3 linked regions of the Schizosaccharomyces pombe genome follow. Changing the gene in region 1 together with any one later gene gives a genetic interaction. Each region holds a gene or a part of one and is shown in the gene's direction. Other genes may lie near its edges.

What was found. A genetic interaction does not mean that the proteins touch.
Region 2: of alp14 (region 1) and spp1, extra expression of one rescues a mutant of the other (dosage rescue), as found in Schizosaccharomyces pombe (one study listed by BioGRID).
Region 3: of alp14 (region 1) and cut20, extra expression of one is lethal in a mutant of the other (dosage lethality), as found in Schizosaccharomyces pombe (one study listed by BioGRID).

Annotation. Positions count from the first base shown.
Region 1 is NC_003421.2:1,009,696-1,015,998, forward strand, and holds alp14 (microtubule polymerase alp14), read left to right. Parts: upstream 1-1,747; 5' UTR 1,748-2,066; coding exon 2,067-4,496; 3' UTR 4,497-4,619; downstream 4,620-6,303. Other genes in the region: elongator complex subunit Elp2, read left to right, coding at 1-803, 846-1,181; SPOM_SPCC895.08C (uncharacterized protein), read right to left, coding at 4,953-6,303. UniProt on the Schizosaccharomyces pombe protein: Required for bipolar spindle formation and proper chromosome segregation. Has a role in connecting the kinetochores and the plus end of pole to chromosome microtubules. Also required for the activation of the spindle checkpoint pathway.
Region 2 is NC_003424.3:2,427,884-2,432,152, reverse strand, and holds spp1 (DNA primase catalytic subunit Spp1), read left to right. Parts: upstream 1-1,517; 5' UTR 1,518-1,535; coding exon 1,536-1,609; intron 1,610-1,693; coding exon 1,694-2,984; 3' UTR 2,985-3,177; downstream 3,178-4,269. Other genes in the region: drc1 (DNA replication preinitiation complex assembly protein), read right to left, coding at 46-296, 337-969, 1,026-1,155; tRNA m(1)G methyltransferase Trm10, read right to left, coding at 3,219-4,133. UniProt on the Schizosaccharomyces pombe protein: Catalytic subunit of the DNA primase complex and component of the DNA polymerase alpha complex (also known as the alpha DNA polymerase-primase complex - primosome/replisome) which play an essential role in the initiation of DNA synthesis.
Region 3 is NC_003424.3:4,040,717-4,046,219, reverse strand, and holds cut20 (anaphase-promoting complex platform subcomplex scaffold WD repeat subunit Apc4/Cut20), read left to right. Parts: upstream 1-1,595; 5' UTR 1,596-1,800; coding exon 1,801-2,038; exon of another isoform or gene 2,039-2,086; coding exon 2,087-2,306; exon of another isoform or gene 2,307-2,348; coding exon 2,349-2,471; exon of another isoform or gene 2,472-2,491; intron 2,492-2,562; coding exon 2,563-2,620; intron 2,621-2,646; exon of another isoform or gene 2,647-2,665; coding exon 2,666-4,186; 3' UTR 4,187-4,411; downstream 4,412-5,503. Other genes in the region: MutL family mismatch-repair protein Pms1, read left to right, coding at 1-1,043, 1,085-1,320; prp12 (U2 snRNP-associated protein), read left to right, coding at 4,456-5,503.

The DNA of each region.
Region 1 (6,303 bases):
GTAAATTCTATTTATCCGCCGGCACAGATCAAACTACTAGATTGTTTGCACGTTTTAAAAAGGATAATGCTTGGCATGAAATGGCTCGACCTCAGATCCATGGCTATGACTTAACCTCTATATCCTGTATGCCTTCTCGAATTGGATTTTTGAGCTGTGCCGATGAAAAGGTGTCTCGTGTTTTTAAATTCCCTAAAACAATTGTTAGACTTCTTTACCGTTTATGCGATACCAATATTGGGGAGGAAAGCTTACCTGATGCTGCAAATGTTCCTTTACTAGGTCTTTCTAATAAAGCTACCACTGCATCTGAAACTGGTACGGTAAATGCAGAAGAAGTTCAGACTCCTGTTGCTGATGTGATTGGTTCTTTGAACCATCCTCCTTTTGAAGAACACTTACAGCGTTTGCTATTGTTTCCGGAAGTTGAAAAATTATTCGGCCATGGTTATGAGGTTTATGCATGCGCCATATCTAATAATGGTAATATTGCCGCGACTTCTTGTAAATCACAAACCCCCGAACATGCTGTCATTCGGTTATACGAAACGCAGTCATGGAATCAGCAGCAAGTCCTTAAAGGTCATTCTTTGACGGTTACAACTATAAAGTTTTCACCTGATGACCGATACATTTTAAGTGCTGGGCGGGATCGGTTGGTGTGTTTGCATGAGCAAGCCGAAAATTTATTGGATTATAATAACTTTGCTTCTATAAAAGCGCATTCTCGTATTATTTGGGATGCTAGTTGGGCTCCCAAAGAAATGGGTTACTTTTTTGCGACTGCTTCGCGTGATAAATTCGTGAGTAATTTTTTATTTGATCAAATCTTGCTAACTATTTAGGTTAAATTTTGGAAAATCAATGACAATAAAAAAATATGTGATGTTGCTGCTCTCCAATTTTCTGATGCTGTTACCGCTGTTGACTTTGCTCCGTTCTTTCACAACGATGAACTCTTGCTTGCGGTAGGAACTGAAGCTGGTAAAATATTTATTTGGAGATGCCCGAGAGAGAATCTTACCAAATGGTACCCAACACGTTTACCAGACCACATGGCTCCTATGGAGTCAATTAACCAAATTTTATGGAAGCCCACTTTTGAAACTATGGGGTTGTATTCTCTTTTAATTGCTGGCGAAGATACCAGTGTACGACTTTTGAACGTTACGTTGGGATAAACTTGAAAATAAGTACAATTGGTAATGTTAGATTGGGTTGGCCTGTTTTAAACATACCTGAGGGGTGGTTAAAAATGCTTAGATAAATTATTTATTGTTATAATTGTCGATAAATAAAAGGAAGGTTAATGGGTTGTTAGGTTGGCATAATTAGTGCTGAATGGTAGACATTCATCAGATTGATTCATTACTTTAGTTGTTATATATATATATAAATATGTATTTTTAATTATTAGTATCAAAAACTTTGGTGTAGTAGTCTTCTCAATTAACTCAAACACAATTTTACATGTTAGAGAAAAAAACAACACATAAAAATTTTTTTTAAAAATAAATTATATTTAAAAGGTAGATAAGGCAAGATTTTAACTAAGAAGTATTTTCAAGCGTAATAGAATGCAAGTTGTAAATCTAACTAAGAACATTGATTACTTCTACGAAATTTAGTTTATTTTTTTTCCCTTTCTATTACTCGTTTACATTTATTGAAAGAACGGAGCAAGCTAGGAAGTAATTTATATTCAACTGAATGACTGCATTTTCGGTAGTGTCCAAAAGTAACACTTACCAACTCCAAACATCTATTTTGCAAACCTAAGTCTTAATAAAGATACTTTTTATTAAAGGCTATATTTTCTCAGGTTTGAATTTGTTGACTCAACGAGTTAATACTTATATACTCCGGCCTTGCTAAATCGATATTCTGTAAAGTTTGACAGTGTTGTATTTGCCTACAGGCTTAACGAGTAATTACTTATTATTTATTCAAAAAAGGGAGAAAAGGTACTAAGTACAACTTTTGAGTTTTAGAATTGGAGTTTTGGGAGAGCATTTGCTGTTTATTTATCTTATACGCTCCTTTAATTTTTGGCACCCCGGAGGAACATGAGCCAAGATCAAGAAGAAGACTACTCCAAACTTCCTCTAGAATCAAGAATAGTACATAAAGTATGGAAAGTGCGTCTATCTGCTTATGAAGAGTGCAGCAAATCGTTTTCACTTTCAGCAGATGGTTCGGATAATTGCTTTGAGCTTTGGAATAATCAGAGTGAATTGTGGAAATCAGTGCTGACTGATAGCAACGTAGCAGCTCAAGAAGCTGGTACCGCAGCGTTTGTAGCTTATTGCAGGTTTTCCGATCCTTCTCATTTACTTAAAGCTCGTGAAATATCAGTCCTTTCAATTTCAGAGAAATGCTTAACATCACCTCGCGCAGGTACAAGGGAAAATGCACTAGAAGCTCTTATGCTATTAGTTGAAGCAGATTCAGCTGCGCCAGTTATAGAATCAATCATTCCTTCTTTATCGGCTCGATCCCCGAAGGTAATAGCTTCTAATGTCGCTGCCATTGCTAGTCTAGTTGAGCAGTTTGGTGCTAAAGTTATTCCTTCAAAAATGATTATTCCACATATCTCCAACTTGTTTGGTCATGCTGATAAAAATGTTCGTAAGGAAGCATCTCGTTTAACTGTAAACATTTATCGGTGGACAGGGGATCCTTTAAAAGATTTACTATTTAAAGATCTAAGACCAGTTCAGACGAAAGAGCTTGAGTCTCTTTTTGCTGAGCTACCAACAGAGCCTCCCAAACAAACTCGTTTTTTGAAAAGTCAGCAACCTACATCAGAGCCGAATGTTGAAACACAGGTAGAAGAGCAACCTGCTCTCGAGAATGAAGAAAGTGAACCAGAACCGTCAGATGATCAATTTGATTTGGTAGAAGAAGTGGACGTTTTACCCAATGTGGATCCTAACCTGGAAACTTTAATGGCTTCTTCGAAATGGAAGGATCGTAAGGAAGCGTTAGACAAACTACTTCCTGTCTTATCTCAACCAAAGATCAAAGACAACGATTTTTTTAATTTAGTTGCTATTCTCACAAAGTCTGTTTCAAAAGACGCAAATATCATGGTGGTTATAAATGCTGCACACTGTATACAAGCGATGGCTAAAGGTTTACGCTCAAATTTTTCGAAGTATGCCTCAACATCTATTAATGCACTGTTGGAACGATCCAAAGAGAAAAAGGCTAATGTAATCGAATCACTATCTTCTGCGATGGATGCTGTTTTGGCTACATCCAGTTTGGATGACTTAGCCGAGCTCATTGCTAGCTTTGCCGGGAACAAAAATCCTCAAATCAAAAGCTCCTGCTTTAGTTTGTTCTCGAGATCTTTCAGTAATATGACATCCTTACCATCTAAGTTTACAGTTGATACCTGTGCTAAAGCATGCGTTCCTGGTGTTTCTGATACCTTTGAGCCGGTGCGTAGTGCGGCAGCAGAAGCCTTGGGTGTTTTGATGAAACTCGTTGGTGAAAGAGCCATTAATCAGTATTTAAGTCCGTTGGACGACATCAGGAAATCTAAAATTCGTTCTTTTTATGAAACAGCTACAGTAAAGGCTAAGGCACCTACAAAAAAGTCGAAAGTTAAACCTTCAAAACAAGAAGAATCAAAAGTCGTCGTACCTTCAAATGCTAAGGCTGTCAAGAAATCCGTTGTTCCTTCTAGTCCAGTTGTACCATCTCCACGAAAGGCAACTAACAAATCGCTTTCCATGGATGTATCAAAGGGTAATGCATTTGAGAATGGTCCTTTGTTACCAAGACCGACTACGAGGCCAGTTTCTCGAGGGCTTTCACGAGGCACATCTTCCAGTTTGCAACAAAAAGTAAAAGCTTCCACTCCTTTGAATTCGGGAGCACTTAACGAAACGGTGCAAAATTTGAAGAACATGGAGTTGGACGATCCGGCTCCTCAACCGGCTAAGCATTCACGAGTTGATCGTTATGAACACCCTAAAGTATTAGAAGACAATGACTCTACCATTTCGTCTTTAGAATCTCTGAAGAGAGAAAACGAGGAGTTACGAGAGCAGTTGAAAGTTGAACATGAAGAGAATATTTCTATGCAAAAACAACTCAGTGAATTGAAAGGTGAATTAAATACCTTACGCAGTGCCAGGAAAGCCTCACCAATAGGAGACAGAAAACCTGCATTTATGCGAAGAGCTAATACTGACTTTTTAGAGCTCTCTACGAGTCCCTCATTTCAACGTTCAGTGAGGGAATTTGAACCTACTAGACCTAAACTTTATAGCTCTATAGATGTGAATCAGAGATCCCCTTTAGCATCTGCGAAAACAAATGGTAATTTCACGTTTCATGCTGAATTACCAAGATCACCGTTTTCGTCAAGGGCCAATAATATCAATCCTGATTGGACTAAAGCCATTGATTTAGCTGCCAAACTAAAACAAAAAATTACTGAGATGAAACAAACAGACCAAAGACATCAGGGATTGATTCACTAGTTTTTAAATTCTTTCGTTTACATTCCAATGTCCCTTACTTCCCTTTCTATTTTTTAATGTTTTAGAATAATGATAATATCGGTTTACAAAAATAATAACAAAATACGTATTCTCGTTTATACCAAATTTCTTAAAATCAGATTTAACTATAGGTTAAAGATGGAGTCAAATGGTAACTCAAACACACAACACAAACAAACATATAAAATAAATAAAAGAATTTTAACGTACGAATTTATCGCATTAAACGTATTAGTGTCATTAAAAAAAGTAGTCTGTTTAATTTTGCATCACAAGTATACTGTATAGCCGTACCAAGTATAAACGAAAACCTCTTTTTAAAAAAATTAAACATAATAAAGAAATTGTTAGAAGAAAAAAAATAAAGATATGCGTAAAGTACAGACAGTCGAAAAAAGAGTAACAATCACATGAGTCTTTGCCCAATGAAAAGTTCTAAGCTTTGTTCAAAAAGTCCGGAGGACTGATGTTGCTAAAGTAGTCCAAAGAAGCGGTGGAAGGAGTATCGGCATCACCATCATCGTCCTCCAGGTAGAAATAAGAATCACGATAAGGGGAATAAGGCGGTAAATGGGACAATTCCGACTCTAATTTCCTATGAAACAGATATATAGGAAGCTTAAAATCCAAGGAATCTAGCCACTCATTTAGTTTTTTCGCATTTTTTCGAGAGTATTTAGATAAATTTGGTAGGGAGGCTTCGGAAGGAGAGGCTAAAGATTGCTTTACGCTGTTTTCAGTATCGCCATGCCAGCTTCCAGAAAGCGAAGAAGATGATGATGAGGGTCTTTTCATAGAAAATAGTGAATTAGATTTAGCTTTGTGAGTCCGAAGGAATGGGGGAGCGAGTTTTCGGGATAAAGAGGAGGGTTCACGAGAGTGAATTGATACATAAATTGAATGTCGCACAAGGAGGTGTGGATTTTCTGTACAGCTTCCGTGAATTAAGTCGTTCACAGGAATTGTGAACTCAACTCTTGAATGGAGGCCAGGAACAATAGGTGGAGACCACTTACCATCCTCAAAAAGGACAGTAATGGAGTTTCGAAAAGCATCATTAAAAAGAAAAAAGGTAATGCTTTGGACAAGAAGCACTCGTATATAATAGCGTTTTAACTTCTTTTCGACTACAGGAGACGAGGTACGAGATAATGAAGAGCGTCCTTTCATATCACAATCATTACTCAAACGTGGTAACCGATCTTGAAAGATAAATTGAGAATCTTGGGAGTTAATAGCAATGGGATCTATATGGGGATCATCTGTTCCAGCAGAACCTGGGGTAGATGACAGTACATCTGCATCTTCGGACTCCAAATCAATTAAAAGTGGGCAAACACAGCCTGGTCCTTTATAGCACTGTTGAGGATATTTAAAGAACGCAGTTAGAAATGAATACTTTGAAGACTTCATTGATAGCGAAGTAAAACACGCATCGTTTAGGGGCGCTCCATAACGTATGTGCTGAGATTCAGGAATTCGATCGGGATTGAGAGTAAAAGGTACAACTACAGGAACATTGGCTGACTTTGGCATACGACAATCATCTTCAGTATACAATTTAACCGTTAATTTGTAAGAAATCGAACCTTCTTGAGTCACAATCGTTCGTGGGGTGCACCTAGGAAGTGGAGCAATGATATCAAACGTATAGAAAACTCCTTCCTTTACTTTGAAATTATTTCCAAGATCCCAGTCGATATGATTGAAATGACACTCCAGCGGTAACTGTCTCTCAGTAGGAAACTTTTTCAGACCAGTAAAGCTTGCAGTAAGGTATTTACAA
Region 2 (4,269 bases), on another chromosome or scaffold:
GTTTTTTTAAATACAACAGCAAAGTTCCGATTGACAAATTATATGTTAGCTTCTGTGACGCCGAAATTTACGTTTTTTTAATTTGTAAGAGGAATAATTCTGGCTTACTTGTTTTCCAATAACAAGCCCGTTTCTCATAATCTTTTTATTTTGTCGTTCACTCTGCAGATCTAAAAATGGTGACGAATCTTTGCTAGCAGTTGTATCTTCATTGTCGTCAATGCCATTTTCCGCATCTTCGTCTATTTCAGGAAGACCTTCTAAATGACTTTTGGAAAGATTCATTGAAGGGGGCACTAAAACGTTAGTTCAGGTACAAACAGGAGAAAACCTTACATTTAACAAGACGATTTTGTCGTTTAATTTTTTTCTTCATAGGTTGTGATATGTCTCTATCTACAAGGCTTTCTGAAGATGAGCTACTAAAGCTTTCAAACTCCTGCAATATCTTCTCTTCATTTGATCCGTAATCATCTTCAATATCTTTTAACTCACGAAGCATTTCACTGAGACTTTTTCGGCATGGCGCATTAACTCGAAGTAAGTTAGGAGATGTATAAACTTGAAGGCGATATGAAGAGGGGGTTTCAAGAACGGTGGGAGTATGTTGAGCCACAGGTTCGGGATTTTTTGATGGAGTAGTCGGTATCATAGTTGATGAAATTTCACTAGTGTTATGTTTTATATCCGAAATTTGATCCACATGAGAATCTGCAATGGGAGACATGTCTTCAAGAAGGTTAAGTACTCGACGTGACAACTGTGGAGTAGGACCTAAAAGACTTTTATCCACAGTTTTCGGAGTAACCTGTAGATAATCATTTCGGGGCGCTTTAGGACTCTCGTTCGCTTCAGTTTCAGCACGCTGTTTTGTAGGAGTTTGAAACTTAAAGTCGACCTTTGTTTTTGCTTTTTTAGGGGTAATGGAGGATTCGCGTTTCAACTCGTAGTATTGCTTATATAAAAGCGCTAAAAAAGTTCGTTAGTTTGCTTCAAAAATTCAAGTGTATCTTTGGCTTACATACCTATTTCTGGTTGTTTCTTCACATCCTCCTTAGAAGGTTTGCAATTGTTCGTATGGACGTACTCATGTTCCCACTTCTTTAAGAGCGCTTTTATACTAGATATTTGTTTAGTTCGTGATTCATCGTGCATGATTTGCCAATTAATGCACTGCCTGGACCCAATTTCAATTTTGTAGTGTTCGATTCAAACAACTGCAAAAACAAACTCAAAACAAAAAGAGAGGCTAATCTACATAAACATATATTTCTTCTAATTCTATATGTGGAGAAATACCATTGCACAGAGTTTGATACGTATCTCGAAATGCAAAGTTGAAATGTTAATTATGCTTTAAAAGTAAAGTAGATGCACTAATGAATGCTCCATTTTACTGCTGAATGTTTACGCATACGTTAAGCAGTTTTTTAAATTTAAATAACGTATAACGTTTAAGTACGCTGTCGTTTCCTTTTGATTTATGGTTGAGCTGTATGTAAATAACCTTTGTTTTTAGCTAAACTTATTACAATATGACTGTTCAAATCGATGAATTGGACGACAAAGATTTGGATGAGATAATTGCAAACGGAACACTTGATGGCGCGTAAGTGTGAATACTGAACAATCTTAACTATGGACTCGATTGAGCCTCTAAAATAATGAAAATTCTCTAACAATTTTCTTATAGTAAACAGGGAGCTGTGGATTCAGAGACGATGATTCAATATTATCGCCATCTTTTTCCGTGGAAATATTTATTTCAATGGTTAAATCATGGTCCGGTAGTCACTAATGATTTTGCTCATCGGGAGTTCGCGTTCACACTTCCTAATGATGCTTATATTCGTTATTTATCTTTTTCAAATTGGGAAGAGTTAAAAAAGGAAGCTTTAAATTTATGCCCAAGCCGATTTGAAGTTGGACCCGTTTATAGTGCCAATCCCAGGGACAGGAAAACAATAAGGAAGTCAACATTTCATCCGCTTAAAAAGGAACTCGTTTTTGATATAGATATGACTGACTACGATGATGTACGAACCTGCTGCTCAAAAACAAATATATGCGAAAAATGCTGGCCATTTATTACGATCGCAGTTCAAGTTTTAGATATTTGTTTTCATGAGGACTTTGGATTTAAACACATATTGTGGGTATACTCTGGTCGAAGAGGTATTCACGCTTGGATTTGTGACGAAATTGCTTGTTCTTTAGACGATCGGTCTCGTAGAATGATTGCCAGTTATTTACAGGTTGTAGTAGGTAATCCTCAAGGTGGCGTACGACTTATTAATAACTTAAAAAGACCCCTTCACCCACATTTGACTCGTTCTCTCAACATTCTCAAATCGGCCTTTGTAAAAATTGTCCTTGAAGACCAAGATCCGTGGGCTTCTAAAGAAGGAGCCGAAAACCTTTTGAAATTACTACCAGACAAGGATTTAGCATCTGCTCTTCGTAAAAAATGGGAGGTTGATCCTGAACGATCTAGCAAAAATAAATGGTCCGACATTGACACTGTCTTAGCATCTGGTTCTATTGCCTCTATATCTCCTTCAGTAATTGCGATTGCCAAGCAGGACATTGTTTTAACCTATTTGTATCCAAGATTGGATGTTGAGGTTTCTAGACATTTAAACCATTTGCTAAAATCTCCATTTTGCGTCCACCCCGGAACTAGTCGTGTTTGTGTTCCCATAGATATAGAGAGGATGGATTCTTTTAATCCTTTGAAAGTACCCACTGTGAATGATCTTTTGCAAGAGTTGGATAAAAATTCCCAAAATGATAACGGCCATGGTCCAACAATGGAAACTAATACAACAGAAAACCAAAAAGATAATGCTAGGGGACAATCAAACAAGGGGCATGGCTTTTCAACTTCTCTCAATCCTTATACGCTGTACTTTAAATCGTTCAGTAGCCAGCTTTTTAAAGAAACAGTAGGAAATAAAAGAAAACATGAGAATTTGGAATTTTAAAATCGTATTTCAACAATCGATTCAAGCTTTAACTAAAAATTTGGGCATACATTTACTCATGAAAGGATGGAAGCTCTGACTTCTATTTACGTGGAGCATATTGTTTTCCGTTAAATCGACAGTAATAATATATTTTTTAATACCTCTTTATTTATCCTTTTTTGCTAAATACATTATAATAATAAAAACCAAAACAAATCAAAAGCATAACTAGTATGATTTTAAACTAGCGATTTAATTTTCTTTTTCCAATTCACTATCAGATTGATTTGACTGAGACCTAGTATCCTCAGAAACATCAAACGATTCGTCGCTTTTAAGCAAAATTCCCTTTCTTTTTGGAATGACCTCCATGAATGCCTTTTCCCAATCTCTGTACTCTAACCAAAGAGATAATATTTCAAAGACCTGATTAACCGTAAGTATTTTCCTATCCGTAATTTTAATGTATTCATCAATTGGAAGCTTTGCAGTTTTGATCCCTTGCTCAGACGCTTTATTTTGACATAAATTTTTGTACCGATTCTTGTCGACAATCGCACCAATAATATAAATCTTGTCTTCATCGAGTTCGGTGATGGTGTTATCTGAATCAGCAGAAAGATATACTAATTTTTCTTTTTGGGATTCAAATTCCTCTAAATAAGACTTAGTAGTTGGGTTGTATCGTTTCCAATTATTTTGTTGCCCCTTTAGCACAAAATCTTGTCTGGTTTTCAAACGTCCACCAAAGTTGGTAGCAAAAAGTTCTACAGGATGTAAAGCTGTACGATTTGCAGAATGACATCTAGTAACCTGTTGACATAAAGAGTTGATTTCTTTATCGTTCATCAGATCATCAAATGCACAATCCAAAACAATTCGGATACTACTAGGAACGACCTTTCCTAGTCTGATCCTCTTCTTTTGACTTTTAACTACTTCGCCAGCTTCAATTTTTCGCTTTCTTTCCTCTTTTCGTAATCGCTTTTTTTCCCGGCGCATCTCTGCTCGCTTTTCACGACCTGCATCCCACTCTTGCTGTCTTTTTAATCTTTTTAATGCAGATTTGCTAAGAACGGGTTGCTCTTGAGTTTCATTTTTAGAAACGTCAGCTTCAGAAGTATTTGTGTCATCTTTACCAATATCTAAAGCGTCTTTGTTTTCCATAATTTCCCAACTTTATTGCAGTCAAAATATAGCCTAAATTTATCTAGTTATATCGTTATTTTGAACCTAGCCAGGCTGTTCATCTAATGGAAAAAGTAAGAGTGTTGTGAAGTATAAAAAGTTGGTAACTACGCCA
Region 3 (5,503 bases), on another chromosome or scaffold:
TCCAGCAACAGAATCCGAAACAAGTGATGACTCAAGTTTTTCTTATAAACGCTCACCATGTAAAAGAAAGCTCGTAGAAGCTACTGCTCAACCAGCAATATCCACTAGTGTTGCAGAAGGAGCGTCATTAGCACAAGTATCCAAACCTTTGCCAGAGCGTTTGCAAAAGGATTCTATGAGACGAAGTAGCCCATTAAACGAAAAAGTTACGGCCTCTTCCGAAAGAATGAAGAAAAAGCTTGCCCTATTCGCTTCTAGTACTGATACTTCTATGCAGAAAACAATAGACTCTAGTTTCCCACTAAAGCAACCCATCAATAAACCTAGCTCGAATCCTAACAATTTGTTACTAAATGATCCAAGTCCAGCATCAACACCTGTTGCTAAAACAATTAATTTAAACGAGATTGAGTCGGTACACAACGCAGAATCAGTTTCCACACTCTCGAGCATTCCTCGTACTGAGCAAACCAGTGTTGCGAACAGAATTCCGTCAAAAACTGCAGCGCTACAAAAGCTCAAATTTTTTCAATCTAGGCCCTTGGATGGTTTAAACAAGTTTAGTAAAAAAATAAATATATCTTTGAGTGGAGTGCAAAAAGATATTGTTCGAAGCGATGCCTTACTGAAATTTTCGAACAAGATTGGCGTGGTGCATGATATTTCAGATGAAAATCAGGAAGATCATTTGAATCTAACTGTACATAAAGCCGATTTTTTAAGAATGAGGGTTGTTGGTCAATTCAATAGAGGATTCATAGTGGTTGTTCATGGAAACAATTTGTTTATAATTGATCAACATGCCAGCGATGAAAAGTTCAACTATGAACATCTCAAAAGTAATTTAGTTATCAACAGCCAAGACTTAGTCCTTCCAAAAAGACTGGATTTAGCTGCTACAGAGGAAACTGTTTTAATTGACCATATAGATTTAATTCGAAGAAAAGGATTCGGCGTTGCTATAGATTTAAATCAGCGAGTTGGTAATCGCTGCACTCTTCTTTCAGTTCCCACGAGTAAGAATGTCATTTTTGACACTAGTGGTAAGTTTATTAACGAAGATCTTGACCTTTAACTTCTGTAGATTTACTAGAGATCATCAGTGTGTTGTCTGAGCACCCACAGATAGACCCATTTAGTAGTAGGCTTGAGCGAATGCTTGCTTCAAAGGCTTGTAGAAGCAGTGTCATGATTGGTAGGGCTCTAACTATATCCGAAATGAATACAATAGTTAGGCATCTTGCTGAGTTGAGCAAGCCTTGGAATTGCCCTCATGGAAGGCCAACTATGAGGCATCTCCTTCGATTAAAAGATATATAATGCGTAAAAGAAAGACTTTTTTAACGATTCTAGAATTTCAGCTATTGAATTAATGAATAATATTGGTTTATTTACAATGTATTTAAAACATAGCAATCAGCAATTATTAAAAGTGAATCTCTTATTGCCAAACTCAATTGAAATTTTTATCATTAAAGAATTATTTTAAGCGAACTTGAACCATGAGGAAATGATTTTTCTTTAGATGTAAATAAACATCGTACTAACGAGGTATGCACAGTTGGATAATCGCTTTCTTAATGTTTTGTATCCCTACAACTTTCATCAACTTCAGTTTTGCAATATCAGTCTTACTTCCTAATAAACCATCTATGCTAGCAAATTTAAAAAGGTTGTATGATAATTGTTGAAACTATCCATTCACTAGATATTTTATATACCTGAACAGGCTTTTATTGACTTGCTGTACTACAATAAACAAACTTCTACGAATCACCAAAATCATCCAGTCTTATCCAAATGGTGTCAAAATCTTTCAAATACCCTAAAAAGCATAAATTTGAATGGATTAATGAAACTAATAGAGTTGAAAGGGTTGGAAGTGGCCTTAAACGAGTAATCTTATGCCCTTCTATGGAACTCATTGCGATATTAACGTGTTCAAATCATTTGATTTGCTGTAGAAGTAACAGTCAAAGAATTTGGGATGTCGATTTTCATGATCTCGAGGCTACTGAATTGTGTTGGAATCACGATGGTACGTGGCTCGACTGGAAAACTTTTTTTGTATCATTAACATAAATAGGGAATTTAATAGTTGTTGGATTTAAAAATGGAGAGCTTAAAATTATTGATTCCTCCACAGGACATCTGGTTGAGCAAAGGCCAGCTTCCAGAGATTTAGCGGTTCTAATGATAACATGGGCCATGCAAGAAACGATAGTAAATGAAAAACGCAATGATTTTTTATTTGATGCCACTGCATATATGCCTTTACTTGGTACACTTCCTAGTTCGGCAAAAGAGTAAGTAGTAACACAAAGCGACTTGTCTCTTACATTTTTTAGGGAACGTATATTTTCTTCAAAAGCAATCGCACAATTTTTTGAGCCGAGGAAACGAGAGGGTGAAAATAACAAAAAAGTTGAGCTCTTAAGTATTTTGGATGAACGTGGAATTAGATACATAAAGTGCGTATCAAAAACCCCTTATTTATTAGCATCTTTCTAAAAGAAGTTTTTTTATCGATCGATACAAATTAGAAGTACTAACTATTCATAGTATGTTTTCGTCTTACAAAATCGGAGAAAGCGATTCTTTGAAATCAGCCTTGAACTTGGTATTATACCCATGTTATTAAATGTCTTGCTCACACAAATTATAGGGGGTTCCCATTTCACACAGCATAACCAACGACTTAGCATATCATGTTCTTATTTGTAAAGGAGGAACGAATATTTCTTTGAAAACACTTTATATGCCATTACTTAAAAATGATTTGGGAAGTATTGTGGATATTGCAACAATGTCTACACGTATGCAACATTTGGTAAGATATCTTGAGGAGGTATTGAATGCTATGTATGAAGAATTTGACAATGTCTTCAAATCAGAAGCTAGCTTTATTAAAACCTTTGATGCTTTAGTGTCCAAGTACAGTGACACAACTTTCTTTTCTTTACAACTAGAGTTATATCAATTTATAATGAACGGTATACCCAGCGACTTACTCAAAGAATGGATCAACGAAAGAGTCGGTGATCGAGTACTAAAAAATTGGGAACGGGCGATGGTGAATTCGTACACGTCCTTAATCATTTTCTGTCAGGAATTCGTAATACCTGCTTGTGAAAGGTTAACTGTATTATTATCTTCTGCCAGAGGAAAGTCAATATGGGGCCATATGAAGGGAAACACATTACTAGATGCTAAATTGGTGGAAGATTGTCTAGCAACTTTGGGTTATTTACAGAATAATGTTTTTTCGTTTCTCAATTGCCTTTTTGAGGAAAAAAAGTATATGAAGCACTTTATTTCATGGTTGAATTACGCTATCGTCGAGTTTAATACTTCTGAACCATCTTCTATTCCACCGCAAGAGATTATTGAACATATTAATGAAACCGTAATTTATATTCGTCATTCTTTATTCCGCTCGAAACTAACAAGTTACTTTATGGGCACAAAACCCCTTCAGCTAAGAGATCCTGATTATTATTCTCTCAAGGATTTTGCAAATCAAGACGACAGTAATTCTGTTGATGATTTCGTATCATTCAAAACCTTGAAAGAATCTTTAAGAGACTCATTCAACGTCATTTTTAGCTACCCTTCTTTAACTTGTCAAAAGCAATGGTTAAAAACCGGAGACCTTGTTTTGTTTGAAGGGACTGATTGGAATGTATCATCTCTTATACCAAAATCCTGTAATGAAAAAAACCAATTATTTTCATTATTCTTTCGAAAGGATACTCCGAATATATTCTTAATAATTTCCCAACTTATGGAAAATACTATGTTGCCTGTATCTGGATGCCACTTTGGCTTGGATTATGCAGAATTACTAGGAAGCAGTCTGTTGGATTTCCAGCCCGCAACTGTTTTAGACATGAAGCTTTTAAACGGAAGTAGTATTTTAATACTTGGAAAACTAAAGGAGAAGTGCTTCTTATGTGAAATTTGCTTAGCAGACGTTCCCTTAACCTTTTTTGAGCACCAGCAAAAAAACAGTTACCTTGATGCTATCAGTCATCTTCCTTTCATTCCACTAAACAGTTGCCTATGGCTGCATGAATTTGAGAAGGATTTCCTTCCTTCAACACTCGAATATGCCCTTTCTGAGAATAGCGATTACGGAGTCCTTATTTCAAGGGAATCTTCGAGATATCGTTTATTCTCTTTTTAATGAGCTTATGTTTAATGGTCGTAATGTTTTTTTTTTCTTGTTTTTGAAGAGCAAGTTACATTTTTTGTAGCGGTCTTTTAAATTTTCTTTTCTTTTTTTTAATTCTTTAATATAATTTAAAAGCAGAAAATTTATACAATATTTTCAATTGCAATAACTTCATTTAGAAAAGTCAACATATAACGAAGTTTTTTACCTTCTGCTATAAGTTTCCTTGATACACTGACTTCTTCTCTCAGCGAGGATCGTGTTTCAGCTAAAGTATAGAGATGGACACCTTCCCTTCTCTGTTTCTATATTCCTTAACAATACAGAATAGTAATTATGTTCAAAGTTCGTGTGCCGCGTCCTTGTCTGGTAAAAAGGCACAGGAGATAGTAATTGCTACAGAATCAAGGTTGCTTATATATAAAGTTGATGCAACTGATGGGAGAATGAATTGTATTTTAAATCAAAATTGTTTTGGTATTATTCGAAATGTTGCTCCTTTGAGATTAACTGGTTTTAAACGCGATTATCTCGTAGTCACGTCGGATTCAGGACGAATAACCATTTTGGAATATAACGTTGAAAAAAATAAATTAGTGCCAATATACCAGGAAACTTTTGGAAAATCAGGAATTCGAAGAGTTGTTCCTGGTGAATACTTAGCCATAGATGCGAAGGGGAGGGCCGCTATGATTGCATCTGTGGAGAAAAATAAGCTGGTTTACGTACTAAATCGAGATTCAGAGGCTAACCTAACAATATCTTCACCACTTGAAGCTCATAAAGCTAATAATATATGTTTCCATTTAATTGGGTTAGATACTGGTTATGCTAATCCCATCTTCGCTGCCTTAGAAGTCGACTACAGCGAAATAGACCATGACTCAACTAGAGAAGCATTTACATCTTCGGAAAAGGTTTTATCATATTACGAATTGGATTTGGGATTAAACCATGTTGTCAAAAGATGGTCGAAGGTCGTTGACAGAAATTCTTATATGTTAATCCCTGTTCCCGGTGGTAATGATGGGCCCTCCGGTACACTAGTAATATCTAACGGATGGATTTCCTACCGTCACCTTCAGAAGGCATTTCATCAAATTCCCATTTTGCGTCGTCAAGCTGCATCGGCAAACGCCATATCCACTCCATGGAATCAAGTCAATTCAAACTCTGCAAATGATGGTCCTTTGATTGTTAGTGCTGTTCTCCATAAAATGAAAGGATCGTTTTTTTATCTTTTACAAACTGGTGACGGGGATTTGCTGAAGCTGACAATCGAGCATGATGGTCAAGGGAATGTTGTTGAACTAAGGTTAAAATATTTTG